Linked DNA regions of Oryzias latipes. The main gene of each other region encodes a partner of the protein of the gene in region 6 in a complex. Links are inferred from orthologs where the notes say so. Each region holds a gene or a part of one and is shown on either strand. Other genes may lie near its edges.

Region 1 (3,162 bases), on a different chromosome or scaffold from region 6:
TTTGTAGTGAGGAACAGTCCAGGTTAGCAGCTAGAAAATATGCCCGTGTGGTGCAAAAGCTCGGTTTTCCTGCAAAGTTTTTGGACTTCAAGATTCAAAACATGGTGGGCAGTTGTGATGTCAAGTTTCCCATTCGTCTGGAAGGACTGGTCCTCACACATCAGCAGTTCAGCAGGTAATTTCTCCTTGTTTTACTGCAGATTTAAAGAATCCGTATAAAAATCCCTGAAAGGCTTTTCAAAAATGTGACAGTTTAATCGACTATTGACAGTTATTGATAAGAAAATATGTTGGGACAGCTGTGCTGACACACATGCCAACTTAGGTATTAAACATATATGTTTAACATAAAAGAAAATATTAAGTAAAAAAATAAATCTGAATGGATGACAAATGATATAAATGTACTGAACAAGCACCACAATGATATGTATGCATCAGATTTTATTAATGCTCCAAAACCATCCATTTTTTAAACTGGTTTCCTGCAGTGTCTGTAAATCTGATAAGCAGGTCAGAATTGAACAAAATCCTAAACCACAATCTGACTCACAGACAGAAGTTTGACACTCAGATGGCAAACTATATATTTTTTTTTTATTCTCCTGGTTTTATTTTGCTTTTCTAAAATGAGGTAATATTTGTATTGCAGCTATGAGCCGGAGCTTTTTCCAGGCCTGATTTACAGAATGATCAAACCTAGAATTGTGCTGCTTATCTTTGTTTCTGGGAAGGTGGTACTCACAGGTAAGTTTTCACTAGACTTTTTTGTTTCCTATTGTGAGTAAAACAGGATGTTAACTGTATGTACTTATTGTTTACACTTTTATTTAGCATTTTTCTATTTTTTCTTTGTTCTCCGTGAAGTATTTAGAATTTTGTTGATGTAAAATTGAAGTTCCAAAACAGATTTTTAAATTCTTTTTGATGAGCTTTACCTTCTGTTTTTTAACTTATTGTATTTATTTCTATTTTTAGGTGCCAAGGTGAGAGCAGAAATCTATGAAGCTTTTGAAAACATTTATCCCATCCTGAAAGGATTCCGCAAGACTACGTAGAACTTATAATTCCCTGTTTTCTATCCAAACGCTATAACTTTTTACATTTCTGTCTATTTTTTCTTTAATATTCACTGAGATGTTAACATTTTAATATTGACCTCTTCAAGTTGACAGTAAAGACTTGAATGTGAAAGACTATTTGTCTTTCCCTTAATTTTTTTTTTAACCAAAAAGACATTTTAAAGGTCCTCTGCTCGTTTCCTCATCACAATTGATCTTCACCCGGAACTTTACCTGCTTTTAGCTTTTACATTTTCTTCTCTTCCTCGCTGGCAAGTTTTCTTACATCGAATTGTACGAAAATGTAAAAAGTATTGAAGAAAAAGGCAGGTAGACCGGGACTTTTCCTGGTTTTATTTCAGTGTTTCAGGTTTTGTATATATTGCAAACTGATTTTTTTCTATCTTTACTCGATTTATGAATGATTTCTCCTTATTTTTTGGGTCAACCCCTTGTAAACAATCTTGCCACAAAATCGATTAACTTTTCAAATTTCAAATTAAACTGAAGCCATACTTGTCCCCAGGTTACAGTGAAAGCCCTCATTTTATAACGAATAGAAACCATTTCAATAATTGAGTTATCCGATCCAGACTGTAGTTTGTTCTGCAATAATTTGCCTTTACCAGTCAAAGTCACCCCATGTTTCCATCATTGCTTGAAGCTTTTTATTTTTTATGAAGAAACTGAGCATAATTGTGATATCAGATGTGCTTTATTGTAAAACTTGTACAAATGTATATAACTTATTTTCAATTATTAGTCATTCAAAGTTGATAGGATGTTCCAAAAAGCTTAAAGCAAACAGGAAACTTGGAAAAATGATGTTAACAGGCATTCAAAACAATAATGTTCATTAGTCTGTCTTCAATTTAAATGCACCAAGACAAAGGAGTTTGTTTTTTTCTATAAATCTCTGCAGAGAGTGAGTTAACAGTGTAAATGCTCCTGCTTGTCCTGGTTTTTTTTCTTTCTTTCTTTTTGCAAAACTTTGTTTAGAAAAGTACTTATCACTTTTTGATTTGAGTTTCTGGCACTTGTTGATTTCATTTTCTCGTTAACCAACCTAAGGATTACCTTTCAGAAGCCAAACTTTTAAAATAAGTTTCAACTTAACGTCTGTTCCACTTATTATGGATGTTGTCACCAGAAATCCATTTTCCATTTGGATACCTGTTCCTCCACAACTGTTAGAGCTGTACTGTGCGTTAATAAACGTGTTCATACATCCTGTTCATAAAGCAGAGTTTTGTCTTTGTAACATCTGAGGTTTTTTTTACTTTAAGCAGTGTGTTTGCCACAGACTCATTTATTTATCTGAAACTATCTGGAGGAAATTTTTTGAAGTAAAAAAAACCCCTTCAATTTCTTCAAGTCTAGAAAAGAAACTTGAATCGGTCACATTGGGTGGAAACCTATAGAGTTCATAGGTCATCAGATCCATGACATTCAGTAGTTTTTATACAGTTTTCTGTAAGTATTGTTAAATTGAACACTTTGAAATTTGAGTAACATGGTGGTTCAACAGCACAATATGTAAGGTAAAAGAACCAATGGTTTTCTCTTAGTTCTATTTATAAGCAGTAAAACAGCTGCTGTTATTGGAGATGCATCTGAATGAACGGCCCAAACTGGTCTGTAGTGGCACATGACTTGTATTGGCTAATAAGGTCACGTTTAAAGTTTACTCGGTTGAAGTTGTCATTTCGTGAATTTGAAGATGTTTCCAAACTTTTCCGTTTTGGTGTTTGTTGTATTTGTGGTTTTTGGATTTGTGACAAATTTTCTCCTCAAACATCTAGGTTTTCCATCTTTCAGATAAAGACTGCTTTTCCAAAAAGGTTTATGTTGTAAAAAAAATTTTTTTTTACATTTAGTTTCTCTGTAGTAAAAATAAACTTGTAAAAGCATTTTTCACACACTAATTGCTTTACGGTTCAGCTTAGTTAAAAAAGAAAAAGAACTACAAAACAAGATAAGTAGGCCATCGTAGGACTGTAGGTGGTATGGTATCTTTAAGTCAGGCACCAGAAATGAGTGAAGTTTAAGGTTTGGCTCTCATGGCATGCACATGTGTGTTGAAGAGCAGCTAAAAAAACCT
Region 2 (4,376 bases), on a different chromosome or scaffold from region 6:
GTGTTTGTACTGTGTGAGTGCAATTCACTGGAAACTGCACTTGTTTGAAAATCAGATGACTCAGATGTTGTACACAGTATTTTTGTCAGCTGGTTTAAAAAAGAAAAAGAAAATAATCACATTGACTTTTCTATGGGTAGAATCACTTCCATTGAGACTAAACTTTAACTGGTTCTGTGAACCAAAATCAGTGTGCTGTAAAGATTTTAAGTGTAAAAAAATAAACTGTTGAACACAGTTTGATGTTGCTGTGTTTTTTTCTTTCCAGTAGAAAAGATTTGCTGTTCACCGAGTGAGTTTATACCAAAGAGGTAGTCAATGTTTCTGTGAGCACTTAAGTAATATCACATTGAAGACGTTTTATGTTCCAAAATAACAAAGCCAAACGTTTGATTTTCTCAAAATTGGGAAAGAGTTGATGAGCAAGGAAGAAACTTCCTTTTCAGACGGGGACTGAACCCAGATTTGACCGTAAACACAAGACCTAAAAAATATGACCAATTCAACAACAAAGTAAATGCTATAAGATCCTTTCATAATATCAAACCTTTTATAAACATGAACCTCTAATACACTAAGAAAACGTCTGAAATATCAATTTTGCTTATGTCCACATAGGATTTTTTTTTAAAATTAAAACCCAAATCGTACCAAAAAAAATTTGAGAGTAAAATCTTTATTTACACAAAAAAACTAGTCCTTGGAAAAAGAATGTCCGCCTGCCTCTGTGGCTGGAGTTTGACAAGAGGCTCTTGAGGCTGTTTTAATCACCTGCATCCTCATTTAACCCACAGGTCAACGGTCTCAGTGAAACAGAATGTGCTTATACTTTGTGTTGGGAATCTGATCTCTGCTCTTCAGCCTTCGGACGGCCTCCCTCATGTGCTTGGGCTGAAGCGGAGGCGTGTCCCCCCACTTCTCACAAACATCAAGCGCTGTGAATCGAAAAACAAAAGACGCAAAAATGTTAAGCTTCCAGGAAAATGGATAGAAGCTGCATAATACTAGAAACTATTTGTTGCCTTAAACACTCACCTTCCTCGACAATTTCTCCAGCAAAAACCTTGGCAATACCAGACATTGCTATGACCACATTCTGGGAAACTGACGATCCTGTGATTGACTGGATCAGCTGGAGGTCGACCAAAAAAGCCACAAGAATGACAGAAGAACGTTTTTGGGAGGAAAAAGAATTAGTTTTTGTAGACAGCTCACCCTCTTGATGGCCGCCTTGGGGAAGGCAGAGCGTCTGTACATTTCATAGCGATTTAGTTGCTCTTCAGAAAAAGAAGACACCAAAACTCTAAAAGAATCCAGGAAGAACAAGAAACGGGGTGAAATTAATAAAGATGACAGCACCATGGAATATTTCAGGAAAAAATAAAAACGGCAGTCTTACTGCATCTTTTGTATTTCATCTTCGTCAACTTTCTGCCTTTTCTCCTTTTTCTTATCCGGCTCCACCTTTAGCCTTTTTGCAGGAGGCTGACCGGAGGTTCCCTCTTCTTCATCATCTCCAGGTGCAGCTTCCTTTTCAGAAAAAAAACCCATCATGATTAAAGTCTTCTTACACTTTAATGGATTTCCCTTCCTAAATTTTTAGTACTTCTTCCCATTTTTAATGTTGTGTTTGTTCAATGCACAATTATTTAGAATACAATGTGAGGATGTAAGTGAAGCTCGTTACATGTAAGTTTGCTACACTCTAACATACCCAACAAAAGAAGACTTGGATTTAAAAAAAGCAATGGTAGACCAATGTGATCAAGTATGAAGGGTTTATTTTTCAACCAAATTTAGTCAATCAAAAGTTATTTTATAATTAAAAAATGAACTGCATGTCAAAGCTAAGAAAGAGTCAGTTTTATTTTGTATATACAATAAAAATAATACATAAGTTAAATACTTCCTCAATGAAAATATTTTGCTTGAACATTGTTAATAAATACTCAGGATTTTGTACATTTTTCTTCAGGCTTATCTAGTTATTTACCTTGGGTCCCAATTTAATTGTCTTGGAAATCAATGTTCAACCCCTTGAAGCCCATTAATTCAAATATGCATCAAACATATTTGACTCCAAAATTACTATAATGTTCTAAATGAAAATAAAGACATATTGTACCAAGTTCTTTTTCTCTGCACAAAACCAAAACACGAGTATCATATTTAAACAACCATTAATATTGTGGATTGTTTATTACATCAGTTTCCCCCCAATTTTTGATAACAGATTTGGTCCAGAATTGGTTGTATGTCTATGTCAAACTTCCATAGATCTATGCATTAGACTGTAACTTTCTCCTCAATTGTACTGCTAACAACCTAAATAATTCTCCACTCATCTAGATTTTGCTTAGATTTTTTTTCTTCCACAAAGGATTTTTGAACACAGTCATTTCTACTCACATGTTTCACCTCCCTTGTGGATGGATCTTGTGCGGACAACTCTTTCTTTTCGTCTGCAGATTCTTTTGCGATGGCTTCATTTTTTATGTTCGTCTCTTTACACGGCTCCCCTTTGGATGCTGCTGCCTTCTCAGACTTGTCTTCTGCCGGCTTTATCCGTGCAGGGTCTGCCATAACCTAAGTTTCTAAACAGCAGTCTGCAAACACCAACGAAGAAGCTATTACGAGACTTTAGTTTCAGCTGTGTAGCCGGCGTATTTGAATAAATTCTGGATGAAAACTGCGTATCTCATGCACGTTCCTCTACAGCTAGCTAGAGACGTCAACAACAAAGCCCTTTGCCGCAACACTAGCAGCTAATAGTTAGCTGTTATAGTGCACTAATGTAGTCTACGGTCCTTAAACGACACACACCGGTAATTATGTCAAAAAGAAAAAAGGTCTACATAAACAATGGATAAATAACTATAAGTACTACATAGAAAGGCAAAAAACTAAAGAAGATAAGCTAGCTTTCCTGGTAAACATCTACCATCGAATAATAGCCTAAAAAAACCCAAGTGCTTCCGTTTCCGTTTTGAATAAACTTTATTAACAAGGCGTTAAATGTTTCTTTTTTTATGTCAAAATGTGTTGAAGTTAGTACTGTCCATGAAAAATGTGTCAAATTGCTCTCTCTCTCTCTCTCTCTCTCTCTCTCTCTCTCTCTCTCTCTCTCTCTCTCTCTCTCTCTATATATATATATATGTATAAACTCAACACAAAATAGAAGAAAATTGCAAAAACGAAACCAAACTAGAATATTTTAAGACCAATAGAACATACAAAACATTGTTTTTTTACGCCACCTTGTCACGGTTAAAAAAAAACAAACTCTGTGCTAAAGTTACGCAGGAAATACAACAACAAATATTGTCAAGAAAATAATACTTACAATTATTACATTTTACATAATTGTAGCTGTTCATTTATCATTTACAATGCAACCTCTAACATAGTTTATCTTACTCGTGTGTCCCTGTAATTTTTTTTAACTCCACAAAATATTGCAATACATTAAAATAACAATGTGACAGGAAACATGATGTTTTTGATTTTGTATGGTCAGCTGAAAAAATAGTGAAGTGTTAAAAAAATTTTCTTTTTTAATAAATAGACATTTTCCAAAAATGTAAAGTAGTGAAAAGGTCGTATTTTCATTTGAACAAAAAATATTAGGTTACATATTTGTCTATTTCATTTAAATGTATTCATATATACACATTGCTATTTCTTTTCATTGAAAAGTAAGCGATTTGCACACTATCCGGTTAGAAAATTAGCTCTCGATTTTCAAACCAACTGGGGTAACGGAACAATAAAACAATCTCCAATGTCCTCATAGAATCCTGCCAAGCGCCATGTTGCTTTTCCCCGTCCATATGTTTTATTAATCTGCGAAGGGCGGCGGTGGTAGGGAATCTGAGTGTGTCTGACTGAAGAGCTTTGGATTGGAGATGCAGAAAGAAAGGGCAGTTTCAAGGAAGTGACGGACGACGCTTGGAGGACTGGTCAGAGGAAGTTTGCTCGGTGGTTGGTGCCGTGCTGCTGACTGAAACTTTTGCCCGTTGAGCGCCAGCAGCACCGGGGAGAGGGACAGAAGGAGCCGCTGGTTGGAGGGAGCTTTTGTTCCCTGCCGCATAGTAGCTCTCAGGAATAACTTGAGGTTGGGAGAAGAAGAAGAGGGTCACAGAGGAATTTTACTACAAGCAACCCCCCTCCTTCTCCTCCCCGCACCTCCTGTTTTTTTTTTTTCTCCCCCCGTCTGGTAGCAGCAATGGGGAAAGAGCAGGAGCTTCTGGATGCGGCGCGTACGGGAAACCTGGCGGCGGTGGAGAAGCTTTTGTCCGGGAAGCGACAAACCGCTGGCGGATTGTCCGGGACCGGTGGAAGCGCCAACAGCGGCGGCCACGGTGCCTCCTCTCACC
Region 3 (4,656 bases), on a different chromosome or scaffold from region 6:
TCTGGGAGAGTTTGGAAACACGCTCACTCCTTCAGATATAAATGTGCTGAATCTTGGAAGCATCTGATACAGTCCTGGATCAGTGGCTATACTCTGCAAAGCTTCCTGTGTGAACACATAAAGAAAAAGTCCCATGAATCATCAAGCTGAGGTAACATTTTACCAGTATGGGGGAATATTGGAGCTTTTTTGCTTTTACTATAAAACATCTATACCAACATCTGCAGGACTTACTGCTCGCTTTGCCTCACAGGAGCCAACACAGGCTTCTGTGATCTCCTTGTAGTACAGCTGCTGTTCTACAGACAGCTCATGAGTGCTGCGTGGTTTCAACCTGATCGAACCTTTCTCTTTTCCTGAAACACACGTTAAAACAGGAATAACCCAAATTATTAACCCTTTCTTATTGGTGAAGAGAAGCAAAAAGAAAAATTGGAACAAAATGAAATAATTGATACCGACCTTTGCCGTCAGGAGCTGTTGCACCCTGACCTTTGCCTTGAATCGCCCCTTCCTCCTCCTGACCTGGTTTGACCACTTTAAGGGGTTCCGTGGACTCTGTCTTTTGTTGTTCTTTTGTTGCTAAAAAAGTGTAAACAACATAAAAGGTTGTCATTTTTGTCCTTAAAGCATTCAATTTCCTTTGGGGGAGACGGTTAGAACAGGACGAACCTGGAGGGGGATTTTCTGGAATTGAGGGTTGAACTCCTTCAATACTTAACCAGTGGGCTGTGAGTTTCCAAAAGAGAACAAACCATGAACTTTCAGATAAATCGTTTAAAAGATTAAAAACTGTGATTTTAAAAGGTTGTAACGGTCGCTCTACCTTTGAGAGAGACATCTAGTGGAACTCTGGGGAGGGGTGTGTTAATAATGTCACTGAGGTCGACCTCCTTTTCTTCATAAAAGTGAAGCTCTCTCCCTCCACCACTTGCAAAGCGAAAAGGAATGAACTCCTGAGACTGGAATCCATACAGAGGCTATAAAAGAGACTTTAATTAGAGCACAGAATATAAAACAAACAGGGTTTCCCAAAACTTGATAAATATGGATGTGTTCCAAAATATTTAAACCTTACCTCCACATTTTTCAGCTTGAGGGCATTATCTATATCACTGGTAGTTAATTTACGTCTTTTCCCATGATGCATGAATTTCAAAGCATCCTGTGCAAAAAGAGACAGAATAAGGGATTGTATGCGGCTTCACATATTCCATAAACCATCAGAGCTCTTACCTGCGCGATTTCTTTGATTCTGTAGCTGACCTCCTCACTCAGGGCGACGCAGCTTTCCTCTTGTAACTGCCCCACCCCAACAGACTCTGCCATGGCCTTCATGGACTCGGTGGGAAGGGTGACCGAGCACTGCTTCTGCCGACGCTCCTCCGCCATGGCTGTCAACACAAAGCAGGGCCATACAAAAAGTTTCATTGTAAACTGAAACCAGACACAAACTGGAGCTTATAGAAGTCTAAAATTATATTTTTCATTCTCCATCTTATTGTTACGGCATTATTTGTTATAAATGAGACACTAGGAAAAAAAAATTTTATATCTCGAAGAAAAAGAAAAAAGAAGGAAATATGTTCGTGGACCTTATCTTCATTTAATGAAAACATCACACCTTTACTTTAGCCTAGAAAGACTAGTGTTGTGAGCATCCAGCATGCTAACAGTCAAAGAACTGTATAAACTGCAAGTTAAACCACAGTAATAAAAGTTTCCTACAGTGAAACAAGAAACCAAAAAAGAAAGAAAGACTGCAGGAAGTGAGAATATCTGTGTCAAGTATGGTATGTAGAAAAGTAGTTTTCTAGCAAGGTTATGAGAACCCCGGTGGTATTTGATGGCACTTGAGAGAAAACAAGACATATTTGACCAAAAAACATTTTTTTTCAATCCCCAAAACCCCCCACAACTGGATCAATCGTTTTGATAAACATATCTGCCGAAATTATTACAATTAATTCAATAAGTCTTTATTTTGTTTGTTGTAATTGCTTTAATTTAAAGCTTTTCAATAATAAGCATCTATATCTATTATCTTTAAAACGCAGTTTCACTTAAAATGTGTGATCTTTGTTTTTTCTAGCCAAATATGAGTTGCGCTTTTTGAACGTTTTGTTGTTTATTACTTTCTATTATTTTCTTTTTAATTTAAACGCCTCACTGTAAACAAAACTGCTAAAATATGTATTGGGGGACCTGTCTGATGAAATATTTCAAAAATAGTCAATTCAAGTGCTTTGAAATACACTCTTTGGAAATGACATCGAAAATCAATGATGATTGAAGCACATTATTATTATTCCCGTGACTGTATCTTTAACGCTGTCAAAGATCTCAATGATCCCCTAGTAGAACACAGACATTAGCGCCAAAAGCCAAAAATATAATCGGGCTACGAAAAAGTAAAAAATACTCAAATAGCTATGCGTTTAGACGTAGTTTTGAAGGTCCGGTTACTTTTTTGTGTCAGACGTTGAACAATCAATGCTGCTAAGAACTCGATGTTCAAATGAGTAAGCTAAAGGCGGTCTTCACTATTTGGATAAAACAGATGTCCCGATTCTTATGTACCGTCTCACAAGGTTCATTCGTGTTAAGAGTTATCTCTCACCTAAAAAGCAACAAGAAAAAGGCCAATCGGCTAAAATGATAATCGGTTCATAAAAATGATTTCATACATTACAAACACAAACAGACCGCTCCTCCACAGAGAGCGGGTTAACCCCCCGACGGAACTAAAACGGGGGATTTCCTAAACGCAATTGCAGTTAAAAGTAAATAAAAGTTCTTCCAATTTTAGGATCACTGTCAGCTGCACATTGTTTAAGATGTGCATTTACAAACGAGCGCTAAATTTAATGCAAGTTAGCTTATATGCTAACAACTTAGCTTCTTTTTGACGTTTATACCTGTAAGAAGTTGTCCTTCCTCTTCTGAGTTATGGCCAGGATTTCCACAAATGAACACTATCAGTATTTACAACACTGACAATAGCGTAACCCCGTTTTTTCCTTGCAAATCCCCATTTCTCAATGTAAATAACAAAACTTATTTCCTGGCTGAAGCAGAGCCATCCGTCTGTAAATTAGCGCTAATGTTCCATCGCCATTTTGAGTCACGTTGCGGACGAAATATCGCGAGAGTTGTGGACACAACAATCAGGAGACTTGTTATTTTAAAATAGGTATCTTATTATTGAAACACGTTTTACATTTGTACATTTTAATTAATGTGACGCTCATAGCTTAAAATGGCAAAATTATGAAAATCAAATTTTCTAGCAAGATAGCTTTTGCTCGAATTAACGTTCATACGGAACTAGTGTTTGGAGTAATGTTTTCCGGGTGACTTTTTCTCGTTACCACGGATGAAAGCTCCAAACGTGAAAGGACATTTCAAGAAACAAATATGAACCAATTTATATCCCGGACAACGATTGTGGCACGAAATCGTGTACTGTACGTTCACGAGTCCTTTTTATCAAGTAACTGTGATAATGTTTTCAGGTGAGGAATAGGAGTACTCCCGATAATAATAGCATGATATCGTTGAGCCACAACAAATGTGGTAATACTTGTGTTAAAAGAAAATCTTGACCCTTAAAAAACTGATTATGTTGCTTCTTATTTCTTGGCTTTTTCGATCCCCGGAAGGACATTTGTGTTTTAACTTGCCGGACTGTGTGAAATTCTAGACTTAAATTTGTTTGAATTCAAAACCACTACTTTATTTAAATGCTAAACGACATGCTGTGCTTTTTTGTATTTATAATAACCAAAATTGAATTAGAACTGTAACCAAACATTATCTTTTCAAACGAAAGCCCACATGTCATAAGTGTCCAAAAATGACTTATTTTTAGCTTGCAGCTTTTCAAATCTCCCCGTATCAAGTCCTAGATCTAACCCAAATTGTTGTCAATTTTCAAAAGACCAATTTTCAAAAGACCATTGAACTCATATTTGACTTTTGAAAAATTTTGTTTCTGGTGACAAAATTATATCAATGTTTCTGAGATACAAGTGGCTTCACAATAAGCTCAAATCCTTTTCCCATCCTTAAGTTGGAGAAGAGTTCTTTATAGCTATGATTGTACGTGTGAAGTGATTCACCATAACAAATATTTCTAATGTAAAGTAGAAAAGTATGCTAACATTCCATCATATTTGATTTTTTATGCATTCCTGTCATTCCTATTTTAAGATGCATTAACTGCACTTTGGTATTTATATTTCTACAGAACCTTAAACAAAGTTGGATTGAAGACTTTCTGCACAAATTCAGTCAGATTGTGTGAAAAAAAAGACAATGCTGGCACATCTATAGATAGCCAAACGAAACTGCCGGAACAGAAGGAGGAGCAACGCGTGTTAAAGACTGAAGACAGAGGGACCGCAGACCGTCAGGCAGATGATAACTCTAAACAGCTTCTGGCAAAATCACAACAGCCTAAAGTGGATACAGGAAAGAGTGAGAAAGAAAACCTCCTGGACCTACTTGGAGCCATGAAAGTAGAAGTGACCAATAAAAGAAAGCTTAAAACTATGAAGAGACAGCAAAGTATTGAGTCAGCTGCACAGTATAAGTCCAAGCCAGCAGATATGGAAAGCACCATCAGTATGTTTCAAAAGGCTACAGAGGAGGCGT
Region 4 (4,372 bases), on a different chromosome or scaffold from region 6:
CAACGGAGTCTAAAGCTCAACGAGAACCGGCAGCCGTCAGACAACGGCCGGTGGGCGCCGCTTACCTGGTACGCGTTGAGGAAGGTGTAGAAGCAGATGGAGGGCAGGTTCTCCCGTCCCAGACGGATTCTTTTTGTGGATTCCTTCATGTACATGATTTTGTCCAGCTTGTCAGAGTCCTTCAGTTCTGGCAGAGGTATCCTGACCATGAAAAGTTGATTACTCAAGACTTTCAAAGGAAATGACTGCAAGAAAACTCTGGAAATCTAATAAGCACAAACGGATGTTTCAGAAATGTTTTCGGTTTAGGAGCTGTGACATCGTCCAGCCAGGACACGTGCACATGTGACAGACTGTCTACAGGGGAAACTCTGCAGGTGAACCAAACAAGCCCTCAGAGCTCAAAAGCCCCGCTTTCACTGATGTTTTCAGACTTTCTAAGCTCTGTCCTGTAACACCTGCCATTCAGACGGATTCCCGCCTCAACAGCAGCTTATTTGCCCCACCGTGAGCAGTAAGAGGGGGACGGAGCTGACGGGGCTTTTCTAGAAACTAAAGCCATCCAAACACAAACCAGAATAATCCAGAAGCAGATGAAACGTCCTGGGAAACGTTAAAGCTGCTCTCCCACAGAAAGAGGAAGAGCCTGCCTGTGGCGGAAGCTCCTGAAGATGCAGAAGCTCTGCTCTGCTGACCGCAGAACCTCACCTGTTCTGCAACGGAGCGTTGGGATCTTGCTTCTTGCTCTTGGAACCCATGCTGTCCTTCTTTGGCTTCTTCTTCTTCGGCTTGCCCTCTTCGTTCTCCGCCTCTTCATCTTCATCATCCAGGGGCACTTCAATCTCTGGTTCTTTCAGCAGCCCATAATAAACCTGCAGCCAGAACAGATGGCATTGTTCTCACGGGATTACAGAGGAACGTGCTAAATCTGTCGGGAACTTCCCTCACCTTGGCTTTGTTGGCCTCCCGCTTGGCCTCTCCTGCTAAGCTGCCTGACATGGCGTCTATCTGGCTCTTGCTGCGGGGCATGCCGTCGAAGATGTCGATGTACAGGTGCTCCTGGATGATGTTCCAGATCTGATTGTTCTGGCGCTCCTGCAGGTGCCTCTTCAGCAGCTGGTAGGAGTCACGGGAGATGCGCAGGACGAACTTGCTGGTGCGGAAGTCCAGCAGCGTCTCGTTGCCTCTCATGTGCTCTTTCTTGGTGAGGCTGGATAAAACCCGGAGGTCGTCTTCGTAGTAGCACTCCTGATCCCCGCTGAACCTGCGGACGAGGCCGTGACGAGAAGGCGCGCGGAGCAGGGCGTACTTTTTTAACGTAAACCTTAAAGGGACTTACTTTTCAAAGAAGGCCTTGGCTTCACTCTCATGATTGTTGTACACCAGCTCCAGGTACATGTGGACAAAGAGCGGGTAGAAGACCTGCGACAGCTCTGCCCGGTGGCAGTCCAACACCGACTCGATGAACTTCTTCAGGTCGCTGTAGTAAACTTTGTAGAGAGCCGGGTCTCCCTGCTGGCTGTAGGCTGACAGCACCACACTGACGTCGGGCTGATCGTCTGCGACTGCTGCTGAGAGAATCCAGAGGTGATGAACCCCCACCGCGAAGCAGCCCAGAAAGACTCACAGACCCTTCAACTATGGACCTGTTGCTGGATCTGCAGCTTACCTGGTTTCAACGGTAAAGCCAGGATGAACTCATCTAAACTGGGATTGAAATTGAAGGTGATGTCTAAGAATCAAACCCGTTTACCTGATAGCAACTCTGACATATTTCAGGAAAACGATCACCTGGTTTACAGTCCATTCTCAGGGTTTGTTGACATCATGTGTGCATAAAGACTTCAGGTTTTCTGGAATCTAATGAATCCCATCTATAGTCTCAAAGTTGGAGCTCTTCAATCTGCTAAATCTGCTTTTGCCATCTTCATTTATTTATCATTAAATAACAATGAGGCTTTGTCCTGTCTTCTGAGTAGCCACATCTCTGAATGTAAAAAACAGACAAAATCAAATGTGTGAAAATGCTGGAAGTTGTCAGATGACTGAGAAGTGTGAACCTTGTTAAAGCACTTCATCACAGGATATTCTGCTGTGTGTGTGATCCTGATCACCTCAATTGATCTGATTATTTGTGTGCAACACTAAACTGTATCAGGTCAGCTGTAGACCAAAACGAACAGTGACAGACACAAATATTTGTATAAAGTATTTAGACTTATTTATATTTATTACTTAAAAAGATTCATGGTTTTAGTTTGTGTTCTTGTTAATTTGGATTCTCAGTTTGACCACCTCTCTGCTTCCCCGGGACGTATGTTGCGATCAAGTTTTGTCCACATTTGTTTGTCAGTGTGTGTAATTTACGTTCTTTTTGCAGCTTCTAAACGTGTCTTTTCGATTCTTTTACAACTGTTGCGCGCGCTTTATGAGGAGCGAACAAAGTTCCGGTGGACGGGCTGAGTCCCGCTTGGAGCGTCATACCTTTGGTCGGCGCCGGAGTTCCAGCGGAGGAAGACACGGCCACCCGGCTGAGCAGAGAGCCCGCATCCAGGCCGTCCACGCCGCCAGCGGTGCCGCCCGAGCTGGGCGCACTGCAGTCCGCCCCCTTTGTGTCCAGCGCATCCTCGGGCAGTCCCGCCTCACGCCGCAGAATTTCAACGGACTCCGTCAGCTTGTTCTTTCTCAGGAACTGTAGAACCGCCAGCAGCGTCTGCTGGTCCTCCGGCGCCCCAGCCGCACTTTTGGTGCTCCCAGCCGAGCTGCTGGAGCTCGGGGACGGAGAGAGCTGTCGCCCGTCGGTCGCATTTGTGTTCATGAGCCCGTCGCTCTGCGGTTCGGTTTTTATGTCGACTTCTTCTTTCTCGTCGACCATTCCACCCTGCACGGCCGCCATTTTCAGAATGAAGTGCGCATGTGCGAGGTTGAAAAACGAGAAGAACTGACTGCGCAAGATAAGCAAATCTGATTGGTTCTCAGAGTGACATGTGTGTGAGAAGCCCGGCCCCCTCCTGGACGGCTCGTGCGGTTCCGGGTTTTTTTTTTGTCTTGTTTTTTTTTTTTTAAATAAACCTTTATTGACATTTTATCATTCAAACTGTGTCTATGATTTAGAAAAAAATCAAAACAATTTTTAAGGCCAAAATTGATAGAACTGTATATGATAAAAACTTGAGCAAATTTTTTTCTTCAAGACTACATTTTTTTAAGAAATACACAAAATGATACATCCATACAAGGAAACAAAATAAAATAAAATAGTGGTCTAGTTAGAAGTAATACATTTGAGGTCCTAAACGTTTTAATAATTTCCTACTTTTGTGCTCATGAGATCATCAGATGACACAGCCTTTGTTGAGCTGATATTACAATGTTGTTAATATTTTTTATTAAAATGGGTAAATTCCTCTGATCAAACTAGTTTTTTTTGTCTCTGTGATTGAAATTAACTTTAAATAATTATATAAAAGATTAAAGAATAAACAAACAAAAAAAAACGAATCAAAGCGAAAACATGAAAATCAAAGAAAGAAACAAATGGGGTAAAAAAGCAATCAAAGCAAAACTATTAAGATCCCAGGAAAAGTAAAAAAGAGAAAAAAGCGTTCAGATTAAGAACAAAAAGATCAACTGAAAATTTTAATCTAAGCAAGAATATAAAGATCAAAAGGGAAATTCAATCGGAAAAGATGGATCAAAGCAAAAACATAGAGCTCAAAGAGAGTCAACGGTTAAAAAAGCAATCAAAGCAAAACTAAACTAAACAGCTATCAAAGAAAAAACACAAAGATAAACGAAAAAAATACAAAAGGGATCAAAGTAAAAGCATAAAGATCAACAGAGAAAGATCAACGGATAATTCAAAGGGAAAAAAGCAATCAGAGCACAAACATAAAGAACAGAAAAACCAAAGAGAAGAAAGCAACAAGAGCATAAACAAAATAGTCAAATGAAAAGAGGGATAAAAGTGAAAACATAAAGATCAAATAAAAGTCAGAGGGAAATAAGCGATCAGAGCAAAAACCTTAAAATAAACGAAAAACTCAAAGGAAAAATGGGCATGTCTTCTTATCTGGGGATTTAATGCAAATAGCACTTTATGGGGGGGGAAGGTGACAGATGCTAATGGTGAGGTACTGGAGGACATGATGGATGATTTATACTTGGTCTGTCTCATTGATTGGGGAGGGACAAGGATAGATGAACAAACAGGGAACATGTCAGCACTAGATCTCACTTGTGTTTGGAATGTATTGGCAGGGTGTTGTTAGTGGGCTTTACATGACAGCACATGGGGAGTGACCATTATCCTCTTTTCTCTAGGGTTGGTGGGGATAGAGAACCATCAATTAATGAAAGGGAAGGCAGGTGG
Region 5 (4,517 bases), on a different chromosome or scaffold from region 6:
TGGTAGTTCTCTGCAGGGCTTGAAGCTGCTTTGGCTCCAGACCCTCGCTAAAAGAAAAAAAAAAGTATGCAGACTATTTAGATGCAAGACAAAGATATCTATTCGATCATAACACAGACTTATACACCTTTCCTTTCGTTCTTGCTAACAATCTTGTCACACCTGAAACCTTCCTTCACCTGTCTTAACCTCCTTGGAATGGGAGGTTCCAAGGGGAAGAGATGAAGAGGGAGCTCTTCGTTTCCTTCCCACACTCTCTGTTGATCTGGACTGTTTGACCCAAAGAACTTAAAGTCCTCCACCTTTACTCCCTGTTCCACTCGAATTCCGCTCCTTCATTCATCTCATTTCCAGAGGAAACCTCCGCCTGCTACCTCTCACTATAGATCATAATGTCATCTGCAAACATCATGATCCACACAGATTCCTGTCCAACCTCATCCGTCAAGACTGTCCATCACCATGGAAACAAGAGGGTGCTCGAAGATGATCCCTGGTGCAGTCCCACCTCCACCTTGAACTCCTCTGTCGTGCCTACAGAACATTTTTTACCAACGTCTTCCAGCTCTCATCCATATCCTGCATAATTCCAACGTTCTTCTGTTCCTCCAGACTCCTCATCCAGACCGCAGCTCCTTTCTCTGTTTTCTGTCATACATTTTCTCTAGATCTACAAAGACACAATGCAGCTCCTTCTGACCTTCTCTGTTCCTCTCCAGAAGCGTCCTAAAAGCAAATGTTGGATCTGTGGTTCTCAGCCTTTGCATGAAACCATACTGTTGCTCACCAATGTTCCTTTCAGCCTAGCTTTCAGCGCCCTGCACATATCTTCACTGTGTGACGTGTCAGTTTCCTTCCTCTGTAGTGTCTACAAAACAGCAGCTCAAATCTAAAGTAAAACTTGTTCGTTTATCATAAACACAACAATGAAAAAAATCTGCAGCAGCTGCTTGTGTTTACAGTTCCTAAGAAATACTTATGCAGATGTTATCACTGAAACGGTCTCCAGACGTTTTGAATTTCATTTCACAGGAAGAGATTTTAATGTTGATGTAAATGATGCGTCATAACACAGACTGACATGTGGGATGCCACAAGGCTCCGTCCTTGGTTCTACACTTTTTAACCTGTACATGCTTCAACTTGGTGATGTCATCAGGAGACACTTGATGACTTGGGACCCACTGATGACCTTTTAAGTTGTTTTTTAGATGTTGAAACTTGGATTGGAGAGAACTTTCTTAAAGCTCAATACAGACAAAACAGACATTTCTTAAATCTTGGCCCTGAAGCTGAGAAGAGAGGGTCCATTTTTCCTTATAAACCCATTACTTATAAACTCAGAAATCTTGGTGGGATTTTTGATGCAGACTGCATTTTTTCATCTTAGAAATATTGTCTGAGTGAGACCCTTTCTCTCCAAAGCCAGCACTGAAATATGAATCCACACTTTTTTAACATCTAAAATAGATTATCTTTATCTTTATTGGCTGCAGCTTGTTCTAAACTCAACTGTGCACCTCTTAAGCAGAGTCAGAAAGAAGGAGCACATTACTGAAATGTTGAAATCTTGCACTGGCTCCCAGGGAGCATAAAGATCCATTTTAAGGTTCTTTTGTTAGTTTCTACAAGTCTCATGCTAATAAAAAAATGGAACTTCAGTTTTAATCAGAACTGCTTTTAGTTGATGACCCTCTCAGAGACCTTAGGTGCAGGTCTGCTGATGGTCCCAAAGGTCAGAACAGAAAGCGAGGCCACATTTCAGCACTGTGGATGTGAGGGCTTCATCCAATGTAGAGGCTTAAGACAGAACTCAAAACTTATCTGTGTAGCTTTCCAAGGAGTTTGGTACATTTCCTCATATTTTATTTTTTATTTTGGAGACTTGTAGATTGTGTATGTGTTAATCAATATTTATTATGTTAATGCTAATTTCATTTCATCTTCTAAACCCGTTAAGACCCTTTCGGAGTCACGGGGCTACAGAGCCCATCCCGGCCACTCGTTGGCGAAGGTAGGGAACATCCTGCACAGGTCGCCAGGAGGAAGCTGGAGTCCCCGGAGAAAACCCACTCATGGACGGGGAGAACATGCGAACTCCAAGCAGAAAGGTCCCGTTCTGTTTCAGGTTCCCACAGCCGGGACTTGAACCAGGGCGCAAGAGTCCTAACCACTGCGCCACCATGCAATTTATGTTAATGATTACCATTATACATTTTTTTCTTTGTATAAAGCACATCGAGGTGTTCTGTAGCAGGAAAAGCGCTCTATAAATAAGGGTGAATTTATATTTTGAATTGCTGTTAGGGCAGTACTAAAGAGTCCAGGAGGGCTCGGAGGTATTAAAGAGAGTTGCAACCTTCAGGAGGTTCAGAAAACTAAAAACCTCATCATCAAGAATAGTCGGCTTAGTTAGCATAGATATACTCCGTCCGAAACAATAGTCTCAACATGAAGAGAATCATTTACAGAGCATGTTGCACAAAAACACTAAAGCTAGCTCAGCTAGTCGTTCAAAACAAAGTGGAGTATAATCGTACTTGTTGCCATTTAACCCAAAATCAACGATGAAACCTTTCCGCATCCAGATGTGGCTGCTAGCAAGCTTTCCGATGCAAACCTGCAGCATTTACGACAAACACAAACGCTTTTCTTACCCCGCTGGAGTTTAACGCGCCTCCCGGCGTCACGGCGGGATCTGCCATTGGAAATAACTTCAAAAATGTCTCCTTTTTAGGTGTGAATTTTTTAAATTAAACAGATTTATTCGCTTAGACACGATAAGCCACCGCTAGTAAATAAGTTGTCCATGTATGACGACACTTCCGTCATTCAGACGGAAACGATTGTGAATGTCTTGAGTTTAGCCGACACTGCCCCCTAACGTCCGTCTACAGTACTGCGATTGTTTACATTGTCATTTTTATCCACTGGCAGATGGAAGAAAAGAAACGGCTTCATGACAAAAACAACATAAAATGCATTCAAATATCTGACTTTTTTTTTGAAAGTGTTAAGTTATCCTGAATAAATGTTATATTTTTTTCCAAAAAATTGAAAAAATAAAGAGAGAAAATATTGTGATTTTCAATTAAAAAACCCATTTTAATTCAGGCTTGTTGCACAGACATCTATTAAGTACCTCAATCACCAAATACTTGATGCCATCAAAGCAAGACTAAAAGAAAAAAGTTTTGTTCAATTTCTCACGATTTTTCAGTGCAGGAGCAGCAAATGTGCCTCTTTAAGTAGACACTATTTTCCTATAATCTGAGTACCAGTGGTTAGCACAACACCATTTTTATTAAAACACACAATAAATTGAATTGCACAATTCCCCTTTCCTTCCCATGGTATTTGATCCATATTAGAATCTGCTGCCCAGCAGCCTGAGGTCACTGTGTCCTGCAGTTTTTAGTGTATCACCACATCTGACATTCTGTTAAAAAAAGGGGCAGAAAACATTTTTACCAAAACTAAAATAAATTAGAAATTCATAAAAATAAAAAGGTCTGCCATTGTCCATTTCCGTTAAAGTGAGAAAGTCTTTTTAGGAAGCATGCAGGCGAGTGGCCGAGCTTCTCCTTGTGACCATGCCCAGATGTTTGGGCTTGACCTCAGGCACCACCACGCTCAGTATGTCCTCAGCTTCAGTGGGGATCTGGACATGGTGGGATTTCAGCAGCAGCCTCTCCCTTCTCTTCTTGTCCATGAAAAGCTCAGCAGTCTGTTTGCCATCAGCAGGGCTGTCCCCAGAAAAGGGCAGGAGAATCATTTCCACCATTCCGCCGACCATTCCCAGCAGGGTCAGAGCAGAGCCCAGCGCGTAGATCTTCACCATGTTCCTGCTGGGCCCCTCCTTCAGAACCTCCTTCATAAATGGTACAATGTCTCCACTGTTTTCCATGATGGCTCTGCAGAAAGAAAAAGGAACATTTTGGTCAGTTTTTTAACTTCATATGGAATCAAAGTCCTTTTTTTGCCAGGGCTCACCTTAAAGGGGATGCCAAAGAGTTCACTTTTCTCTGTGTATTGAGGACAATCATTGTACACTTGGGCAGACATCTCAATTTAAGGACAGCAGAAAGAAGCCAACCCCCACAGTGGAGGACACTCATGCATATTCATGAGTGTACTGTTCTGTTTTTTATAGATTACCACTTGTTTTGGGTTAAAGTGCAGGAGTTTGTGGGACAAGGAGTGAGACAGTTTTTTTCCTTATAGTGAGTATGTGACATCATTTGTTGCCCAACAGATCCAATAAACATATAACAACGTGCCAGAACCCATGACTCATGCTGGATGTGTTTATGACTTGTAATAATCCACAATGTTCCCAATGCGCCTATGGAATTTTTTTAGAGTGGAAATATAGGGCAATTGAAAATGTTAGAATATCTCAGAAAATGTGCATAATTTTTACATCAGTTTGGTCCAAATATGGCATTAGGACAAACCGTGATTCAGAAATCCAACATGTGTACATCACTTCTAGGCTGTGCAATTTTTTTTATTTG
Region 6 (4,583 bases):
CACACGCTCTGGCTATGACAGCAGCTATAGAGTCATCGATGGCCGTGTTATCGGGCTCGAGGTTCTTAAAAAGCCCCTCTGGTGGCTCTCTGTCCTCTACAATGTGACGCATTTGAATGTTTTCTTTGCCTATCTTCTCGTTCAGTGCGGGAAGCGGGGGCTTCAGCAGGATCTCTGCTTTGCTCTGAAGCTGAGACACTTTGATGGAACTCATCTTTGGGCTTTTAGGACTTTTAGGGCTTTTTGTCTTAGCAGGAGACTTCTTCTTTTCCTTTGACGGTTTTGGAGAGTGGATGGGACTACCAATTAATGGAACGGGGAGGAGACCTTTGGGGGACTTAGTCCGTTGCCTGCCAGGGGACGAAACCTTGGGCTTCTTCCCGGGCGTGCCGAGGCTCTTTTGATCAAATTGTTTTGGTATGATCGGCTGAGGTCTGAAGGGCTGCAGGGCACCAGATGGCATTTCAGGCGACAGGGGGTCGAGGCTGTCGTGCGAAGGCAGAACGCCTGGCGGGACGCGTTGCGGGTTGAGCGATGTGAGAGGCTCCCGTGGCTCGGCCCCCCATTCCGGGCTGAGACCAGGGTACAAGCGCGGTTTCTTGGAGGTGGGCATGATTCCCAAAGCTGCATCGGGACTGTCCAAATGCCTCTTCAGAGGATAATTTTCATCATTGACAGTCTCTTCTTCATCTATTTCCTCATCATCCTCCTCCAGCGGCACCTGCATGGCTTCGGCTGAGGTGCCCATGTCTGGAGGGACCTCCTCCTCCTCCTCTTCTGGGGAACAAAGAGGCAAGAATGAGCCCAAACACTTCAACATCAACTTCTACAACAAAGCAAACATTTACACCAAAATTATTGGCAAAAAACTGATGTTTAGATGTTTTAAACGATGCGTTTCATTGAAAAACAATCCTACATAGTTAATAAGGAAGAAAAAAACAACACACTGGAATAAACTGAAGGACTGGGATAGAGATCAAGCATGACACTGACATACTGTTTCCTGTTTTGTATTCCTGTGTATTTTTCCCCCGCTGTTCATCCTTTAAATATGCTAAAGTGTAGAAAACTGGTTGCAAATAGCAGTAATAAAACCTTTAAAAGAAGAGGATTCTATAAAACCCTAAACCATAGAGACAAGAGCTTGACCCTCTGAAACCAGATACTATGAGAAAAGGAATATACATGTTAAAAAAATATATTTTTGACCATTAGCACCATCTTCATACCCATTTATATGAGGTGAATACATCTGACATTAACTGTGGAAAACTTCTATACACAACTGCTGTTAGGAGTGTGACATTAGCCTAAGTCCCACCCACAAAAACAGGGAAGACACGATGAAATGAAAAGTCCCTTTTCCGGCTGACTGCACACTTTTCTGGAACAATTTGAAAATTAAAAAAATAAATATAGAAGAAAAAATGGAAAATAATTTTCTAGCATTTTAATAAAGGAAAAGCAAATCGGATTAATAACTGATCAATAAAACACTAATGCTTATCTAAATACAGAAACTGCACTGTTTGGATTTTTTTGTATGGTGAGCATCACATGAATTATGGAAAATAGACATATTTTTGATCATACAAGTACCTTTTCATGTTTTTCAAAGTTTTATATGCATTTTTTAATGATGTTCAAATATGAGGTCAAAGGAAGTGGATCATTTAAATTAGCTTCTCTTTCACTTCTGAGTTATTGGTAAATGGCGTATACGTATATAGCGCTTTTCTACCTGCAAGGCCCAAAGCGCTTTACAGTCACACACACAATCCATTCATTTTCCTTTTTGTTTCTCAGTAAATTACAAACCAAACCAAATGGAGAATACTTTTAAACATCATTTTGCAAAGACTGTGAAAATATGATGTTGGCTGATATTCTAATGACCTGCATTTATACAGCTTTCCAGTAGATTCAGTGTAACACACTTGCACGTCAATATGTCTTTCGCTACAGGCACTGATAAACGTGTCGGTGCCATCCAAACCAACAGGTGACCTCACCTTCCTGCAGGGAAACCAGGGGCGGCATGTAATCGGGGATGTAATCCTTCCTTTCGTCTGCGTCTCTGGCTGCAGACTGAGGAAACTGCAACATGTTGTTTTTGCATACGGGGAAGAGCGGCGTCTGATGGGCAAACGCCACGGGCTCCAGATTGTGGACATAGTCCTCCAGCTCGCTCAGGTTTACCCCCATGAGTCGGAAGGCCTGGCTGAGATCATCCAGCATCGGATCTGTTCTTCCATCTGAAAGACACGATCACAGGGTACAGTCACAAACCAAAGAGACCCCCATTCTGCCGAACTGTAGAAAAGGACACTTACTCTGCATGCAGCAAGAAATACTGCAAATAATTCTAATATAAACGTTGATCAGACAATACAGTGACGTCATGTAAAACCTACTCCTCCATTGTGAAAAGTTATGCTGTGAGAATGACGCTATGACTGACAGTTTGGGGCTACTGTACTTTTTGACACATCACTTCTTCCTAGGGGGCGCCCGCCACAGGACAAGTCAACAACAACGTGATCTACTACTATTGGTTTAAAAGTAATCCGAACACAAAACACAGAACTTACACAGTTCGGAGTATCGGTGGCAGACCCTCGCCAGCTGCTGGATGTACCTCTGCAGCACATCAGACAGCAGATCGCACGCAGTGAGCTGGACTGCATCCCAGCCCAGAGCTTGGCAGATCTGCGCCACCGAAACACGCAGCAGCGAGCGGGCATAGCTCTCGCACATCTCGCTGACTTTGTTGCGGTATATTCCCGGTCAATTTCTCAACAGGGACATCCCTCCCGTCGTCATGCTTCAACGAATCCCACGGAGGGTTGAGAAAACCCACGAACTTCGCTAATATCTTACATCTACTTCAGTAAATACATTGGCGCTTTTGCCAGGGCCGCCATCTTGATTCCATCGATAGACCCATCCCCGAAATCTAATCTGCACATGCGCACAAGTGAGCGCTTGTCTTCGCTTCCTTGGTGTTTGAAAGACCGCTTTGAGCATGCGCGGAAGACCTTGTTTCAATAAAGGCTTCTACCGTCTTTAAGTCATAAACGGCTATATTTATGTGTTCAGAAATGTAATTAAATGTATCGGTTATCGATTAACATAACTTTAATTAGATGTTTGGAACTGACAGAGCTTTAACGGTTAGTTTCGCTTCCCACTGCTGAGTCACGCATGCCCTTTCGCTGATGATAACCCTTCTTCAGCAAATACACATTTATCATACTGACCAGTACGTTATTGTTTCACATTTTAAAAAGTTATCTTTTAAAAATGTTGTAGACTAGCACCTCGTAGAAACTCAAAGCGTACATTTTATAAGGCGCGATCACAAAGTAAGTACATGCAGCTTTTAGGTGTCGACACACGGTGGCGCTGCATAGTTTTGTAAAAATCCCAATTTTTGGTGTAGAACGTAAACACATAACTGTAGTTTATGTAGAGTTCTCAATTCGACCGTTTTATAAATCTCGAAAAGTTGTGAAATATATACAAACTAAAAAAGATGTCATCTAAAAACAGGCCACAAATATTTTCCAGAAAAACGAATGGCCCCAACTTGTTTCAAATCTCAAAATTAGAATTTCTTTGGTGATGAAATCTCTTTAATTTTTTTAAATAACCAACTAATAACTACACAATTTTTCACAAGTATAAATAACTCCCTTTCCTTGTGGTAAAATTCTACTAGAATTGAGGCTTGAAAAAGCATCAGAAATATTACAATTGTCACAATTGTTTGGAAAATTACAGTCAAATATTTACAGCTACATTTTGGGGTTTTCAAGTAGTGGCAGAAATTTGATCTCTTGCTGATTTTGTAGGTTGCCCACTTAAAAAACTGACAGTCCAAATGGAAAGTTAATTTGAACCGTGGGATAAAAATCACAAAGAAAATCAAGAAATTGAGATGTAAAGAATTTATATTAATTTATTTGCATTTCATTGAGGGAAATTAGAACCCTTTTTCCAGACAGACTTAGTGCTTTTGTGGCAAAATCCCTAATAAAAATCACAGAAGTCTGGCAGTTCTTTCAGTTGATCAGGTTTCTGCACATATCAGGAGAAATTTTGGTCCACTCTTCTTTGTAAATTACATCTTTGGTGGCTGTAGCTTGGCAACCCTGACTCATCTCTCTCCATATGGTTTCTTTTGGATTGAGGTCCAGAGACTGGCTGGGCCACGCCATGACCTTGATATGCCTCTTTAGCCATTCCTTGGTTGTCTTGGCTGTTTGTTTTGGGTCATGATCCTGTTGGAAGACCCATGCACGACCCATTTTAAGCCTCCTGGCTTAAGGAGAGAAGGAGTTTCTCACTCAGGATTTGAAGGAACGTGGCTCTGTTCATCCTCCCATCCACACTGTGAAGTAGCCCTGTGCCCTGTCCTGATTAACACCCCCAAAGCATGATGTTCCCACCTCCATGCTTGACAGTGTGGTTTGTGTTCCTGTGGTCACAGGCTGCATTTCTCTTCCTCCAAACACCAAGGGTTGAGTTGATGTCAAAGGCCTCAATCTTGTTTTGATCTGACCACAGCACCTTTTCCC
Region 7 (4,416 bases), on a different chromosome or scaffold from region 6:
TCTGGAGCTTCCAGAGGCTGTTCCCTTCATTTTACAGTACTGCAGGGCATCATTGGCAATGTCAGAGATAAACTTTTGAGAGGCAAGGGAGATCAAACGGATTCTGCAAATATCCAAAAGAGAGTTATAAGTGAGTCTTCACATAGGGTTGAAATATTTGTGAACCCATAGAGTGGAGCATGACTAAACCTCACATTAAACTGTACAAAAAAAATTAAGCAACAAGAAATAAAACAACCTGTGAAGGATATGTACCGTAATTTCCGGACTATAGAGCGCACCTGATTATAAGCGGCACCCATTACATTTTTAAAGGATAAACCATTTCGTACATACATAAGCCGCACCAGTCTATAAGCCGCATGTGCCCACATTGAAACATGCGTCGTAGAATGAGGATGTGTATGTGCTGAAACCACGAGCGGCGTGTGTAAGAAAGAGGAAGGAGCGCGTACAGCGGAGGAAGGGGAGAGCTAGTGCAGCGCAAGAGGGAGGCTCTCACTCCTGCTCTGTTCGGGCTCCTTCCTCTTACACACACAGTGCGCTGACACACATACTCATTCTACAACACCTATGTAGTGAGTTTATTAGTTAGATAGTTAGTAGTTAGTGTTATTTTTTAATTAAGAATACTGCGTTGTAGTAGGTATTCATTAGCGACGTGGCCGCCAGGGAGATTTTGTGTTTGTTTGTTTGTTTTGTTGTTGTTGTTTTTTTTTTTTGGGGGGGGGGGGGGGGGGGTAAACCGCGACACAGCAACTCCTGCTGCTTCATCACTGCGGTGATCAAAAATCCCACACCGTCACAGCTGTTTTCCAAACAGTGCCTGTGACGCGGCAGGAACACGGCAGCAATATGGTTGTAACAGCACTAACAGAGCTGGTTAAAAAAAAACTACCGGTGAAAGTCACTGAGAGCAGCAGTAACTTATAGGCACACGCCTCCTGTGCTCTGAAACCATTGAGGTCTTCCTCCTCAGTGTCGGATTGGAATAGCATCAGATAGACTTCGCTACACACTCTCTCTGTGTCTCCTTCATTGTCAGTTTGTCCCTCTCATCCTGAGGCAAATTCTCTCCTGTGTTTGCGCTGTCCTCTCCGTCACGCAGCAGACCGGCTTCTCCAAACCCGTTGGTGATGGTATTTTTCACACTGCTTTTAACGATTGCTTTTAACTTGAAAGCTGCGTCATATGCATTTCGTCTTGCATTTTCCATGATGAGGGTCTGTTCGTGCTATTCATTCACAAAGCAGGAATTTACATAAAACTTGCGTCTTTCCTCAAAACATATACCACATTCCCCCTGACTCGCTCCTCCACCCGTTTTGCTCGAGTGGCCGTTAAAAAAAAACGCATGAAAATAAAATAATAAGAAAAAAATGCATAAATTAGAAGCATCATTGAATAAGAATCAGGGTTGAAAGCGTGTGACAAAAGTAGCGGTTTATAATCCGGAAATTATGGGTAATTGTAATACTATAATTGAACCTGCATGTTTAAGCAACACATACACAGTTAAGCATTACACAAGCTCTCTATGCATTTAAATCTAGTTTTTTAGCTGCATATTTAGGATGTATATTTGTTTCTCTCAGAATTCCAGATAAATTCATAAACAAATCAACTCAATCTTTATTTTTAAAAAGTATTTATCGTTCTTCGAGCAGCTCAAAGCACTTTACAATTAATTCCAATTCAAATAAACCCAACCAAATCCCTTTGCTTCCTCTGTTGACAAACACATTAAACCCCAAGCATAACTAATACAGGCATGAAAACATGACTGTTATTGAACACAGATCAGCTAGTATGTAATTTCTTTTTAGCTTTGCACAAAATTAAAAATCTGATTATCTTTAGAATTAATCATGCTACAACTTAGCAGATCACTACTTAAGCATTGATATCACACAAAATATGGACATATTTCTAGTTTCAATCACTTACATTCTTGGGTCAGAAGCCTCAAATCCAGCTCGGTTCAGATAATATCCCGTAACTGCATCAGGAATCTGCAAAAGAAATGGAAAAATACACGAGAGAGACTAAATAATCTAAATATTTTTACATGTAGTTACCCTGCCAGTACGACGTAAACAAAAATACAGCAGTTATCTCGTTTGAGCCAAGGCATCCCCATCACTAACTCAAAGGTAAGGGTGATAAATTTACCGTAGGAGTGTAATCCTCCAGCTGCATGAGGAAATCAGCCAGAGGTGTGGTGGAGACAGCAGGTTTCACATCCCCATTGGTTATGCCAGCGGGAACGTAGACTCCATTGGAGACTGATGAGTCTGCTGATGGAGTTGCCGGGGCTGCTGAAGCTGCAGCTGCAAAGTTGTAATTATCACTTAAATCAAATGTACTTATATTTATATACACACACAACACTTTTTGGGGCGGAGCTTAACTAAAAAATTTAGTTTTATTTTTTTAGCAGAACGAAATGTAAGAAATGCTTAACAGATAAAGAAAAACGTTTGTCGGACAATCCTCCAAATATGCATAAAAGACTCAGGAATGCATCAGTATGTGAATCAAATTGACTTAACTAGCAAAACCACAAATGTCAGATCATCAGATGGGGCATCGTCGTAGCACAACATTGTTAGCACAGATCTTGTTGACCAAAATTATGTTTCGTTACCATTGTTTGTGACCGAAGGAATGCTGCTGACGTTGGTTGTTGCATTGTCATTGGCAATGCAATTACTTGAAGCTGAAGACGTCGTAGACACAACTCCTGTTGTAACAGACGGATTTACGTTGTCTACATTCATGTTTATATTAGCTAAGCGCTAACCTCAAAAAGCTAACTCAGACAGATGTATGGAAATTTGTATCAAAATTTCTATATGGTGCTATATAGCAACACGGCCAGGCGTTTAAAGAGGTACTTTTGTTGATTTAAGAAACTTTTTTTGACTACGAGAACACTAAACACTACAGAAAACTATCAGTTGTTGTTTTTTTATCGTTGCTGTGAAAGCTTAGCCTGTGCTACAGCCGCTGACGTCATGTGACCGCGACAATACGTAGGATTTGATGACGTAAGCCGTATGAACCAACGGCTGGGGTTGCGTTTGAGATTATTTGATAATGCAACAACAGCAACCTCAACAGCGTTTGTAAACGTTCATAGTTTAGCTGTTTTACGATTGAGAAATATTTACAGTTGAACGACAGTTAGAAGATTAAGTCAGATTTAATAACCACGACCGGTGACAAAAAAAGTGCAGCCTTAAAAATAGTGAGATACATGTTAAGATACATTTTAGGTAACATATTAAACTGATTTAACTGGCAATGTGTTATGAACAAAGCACCTGTACTTTTTACGCAGGATGATTTGAATATTAAGGACCTTACCATTGCTAACGTTTATCTTTTTCTTTTTTTTTTTCACAACATAACGCGTTTATGACAGGAAAATTGTAGCTGTTTACGAGGGACATTGAACGCAGCAGATGGACAGCGACCTGACTGGCGCGTGGAGGCTGCAACTATTTACAAAGAAGTAGGCGTTGTGTGACTTTTATCGTCTTTGTGAAGAACATGTTTACTCATTGACCTCCGATGACTTTGCAGTTTCGTCTAGACAAAGCGCGGAGGCAAACAAAAAAGATCCAGCAGGTTTTGATAGTCGTGCTGGAAAAATTAGGTAGACATAACATCCTTTCGTGAAGTGGCGAATCATGTGGTCTTACCGGAAATTATGATGTGGAAATACGCCTTCTCCTATGTGTTGTTGTGTCTGTAAAATAGGATAGTGATTAATAATGGTTTGATCTTTAATACGTTTCTTTTACTATAGAAAACACTGTGCTGTTCGTAACCGGTGGATCTTCCTAGTCAAATGTTTACCATGTTTGATCTTCAGCTGAGTTTTAAAGAATGACTGCCACGGTCCGAGCAATCGTGATTGGAGCTGGTTGTCGGGGAGCGGGTTACTCCGAGTTTGCATTAATCCATCCTGAACGCATGAAGGTATCCTCTCTTTCTCCTCCTTCCCCTGTTTTTAGAGCCTCATTTGACACATATGACAAATAAAAGCATCATAACCAAATACATTTTTTGTAAACACAATTTTAATTGAACTTTTTCGGATCCCTGGCATTAGAAAAATTAAAGGGTATGACTTAGTATTTTGTGTGCAAAAACTATATATATATATATATATATATATATATATATATATATATATATATATATATATATATACATAATTTTAATTAGCATTTTGTAGGGACAAATTGCCCACAAATTTTCTATTTTAGTAGAGGGAATTGATGACAAAAATGTTCATTTGTGTGCACAAATTGTTATTAAAGTCCTAATTTTTGCCAAATGATGTATATTTATATACAGTTTTACTACCTTCCTAAAAAGCCCAAAGCACTATGCAGTCACAGTCCA

Evidence for each region.
Region 1: taf3 (region 6) and tbp share a complex: the UniProt entries of both Homo sapiens proteins name them as parts of the TFIID basal transcription factor complex. The link is inferred for Oryzias latipes from reciprocal best matches to the Homo sapiens genes TAF3 and TBP.
Region 2: taf3 (region 6) and taf11 share a complex: the UniProt entries of both Homo sapiens proteins name them as parts of the TFIID basal transcription factor complex. The link is inferred for Oryzias latipes from reciprocal best matches to the Homo sapiens genes TAF3 and TAF11.
Region 3: taf3 (region 6) and taf6 share a complex: the UniProt entries of both Homo sapiens proteins name them as parts of the TFIID basal transcription factor complex. The link is inferred for Oryzias latipes from reciprocal best matches to the Homo sapiens genes TAF3 and TAF6.
Region 4: taf3 (region 6) and taf5 share a complex: the UniProt entries of both Homo sapiens proteins name them as parts of the TFIID basal transcription factor complex. The link is inferred for Oryzias latipes from reciprocal best matches to the Homo sapiens genes TAF3 and TAF5.
Region 5: taf3 (region 6) and taf8 share a complex: the UniProt entries of both Homo sapiens proteins name them as parts of the TFIID basal transcription factor complex. The link is inferred for Oryzias latipes from reciprocal best matches to the Homo sapiens genes TAF3 and TAF8.
Region 7: taf3 (region 6) and taf10 share a complex: the UniProt entries of both Homo sapiens proteins name them as parts of the TFIID basal transcription factor complex. The link is inferred for Oryzias latipes from reciprocal best matches to the Homo sapiens genes TAF3 and TAF10.

Annotation. Positions count from the first base shown.
Region 1 is NC_019861.2:24,478,561-24,481,722, reverse strand, and holds the end of tbp (TATA-box-binding protein), read left to right. Parts: intron 1-7; coding exon 8-175; intron 176-652; coding exon 653-747; intron 748-978; coding exon 979-1,058; 3' UTR 1,059-2,302; downstream 2,303-3,162. UniProt on the Homo sapiens protein: The TFIID basal transcription factor complex plays a major role in the initiation of RNA polymerase II (Pol II)-dependent transcription.
Region 2 is NC_019865.2:19,681,437-19,685,812, reverse strand, and holds taf11 (transcription initiation factor TFIID subunit 11), read right to left. Parts: upstream 2,972-4,376; 5' UTR 2,584-2,971; coding exon 2,410-2,583; intron 1,531-2,409; coding exon 1,400-1,530; intron 1,304-1,399; coding exon 1,216-1,303; intron 1,133-1,215; coding exon 1,036-1,132; intron 936-1,035; coding exon 805-935; 3' UTR 657-804; downstream 1-656. Other genes in the region: anks1a (ankyrin repeat and SAM domain-containing protein 1A), read left to right, coding at 4,226-4,376. UniProt on the Homo sapiens protein: The TFIID basal transcription factor complex plays a major role in the initiation of RNA polymerase II (Pol II)-dependent transcription.
Region 3 is NC_019872.2:15,547,875-15,552,530, reverse strand, and holds the start of taf6 (transcription initiation factor TFIID subunit 6), read right to left. Parts: upstream 3,122-4,656; 5' UTR 2,919-3,121; intron 1,395-2,918; 5' UTR 1,393-1,394; coding exon 1,237-1,392; intron 1,166-1,236; coding exon 1,079-1,165; intron 981-1,078; coding exon 827-980; intron 730-826; coding exon 673-729; intron 583-672; coding exon 463-582; intron 357-462; coding exon 235-356; intron 106-234; coding exon 28-105; intron 1-27. Other genes in the region: mrps31 (28S ribosomal protein S31, mitochondrial), read left to right, coding at 3,418-3,515, 4,250-4,656. UniProt on the Homo sapiens protein: The TFIID basal transcription factor complex plays a major role in the initiation of RNA polymerase II (Pol II)-dependent transcription.
Region 4 is NC_019859.2:29,661,432-29,665,803, reverse strand, and holds the start of taf5 (transcription initiation factor TFIID subunit 5), read right to left. Parts: upstream 3,041-4,372; 5' UTR 2,897-3,040; coding exon 2,485-2,896; intron 1,572-2,484; coding exon 1,340-1,571; intron 1,265-1,339; coding exon 949-1,264; intron 873-948; coding exon 709-872; intron 202-708; coding exon 66-201; intron 1-65. UniProt on the Homo sapiens protein: The TFIID basal transcription factor complex plays a major role in the initiation of RNA polymerase II (Pol II)-dependent transcription.
Region 5 is NC_019865.2:25,322,211-25,326,727, reverse strand, and holds the start of taf8 (transcription initiation factor TFIID subunit 8), read right to left. Parts: upstream 2,846-4,517; 5' UTR 2,706-2,845; coding exon 2,658-2,705; intron 48-2,657; coding exon 1-47. UniProt on the Homo sapiens protein: The TFIID basal transcription factor complex plays a major role in the initiation of RNA polymerase II (Pol II)-dependent transcription.
Region 6 is NC_019864.2:13,576,225-13,580,807, reverse strand, and holds the start of taf3 (transcription initiation factor TFIID subunit 3), read right to left. Parts: upstream 2,969-4,583; 5' UTR 2,761-2,968; coding exon 2,595-2,760; intron 2,259-2,594; coding exon 2,016-2,258; intron 778-2,015; coding exon 1-777. UniProt on the Homo sapiens protein: The TFIID basal transcription factor complex plays a major role in the initiation of RNA polymerase II (Pol II)-dependent transcription.
Region 7 is NC_019865.2:7,762,373-7,766,788, reverse strand, and holds the start of taf10 (transcription initiation factor TFIID subunit 10), read right to left. Parts: upstream 3,031-4,416; 5' UTR 2,781-3,030; coding exon 2,648-2,780; intron 2,331-2,647; coding exon 2,173-2,330; intron 2,013-2,172; coding exon 1,948-2,012; intron 104-1,947; coding exon 1-103. Other genes in the region: uncharacterized protein LOC101174996, read left to right, coding at 3,895-3,987. UniProt on the Homo sapiens protein: The TFIID basal transcription factor complex plays a major role in the initiation of RNA polymerase II (Pol II)-dependent transcription.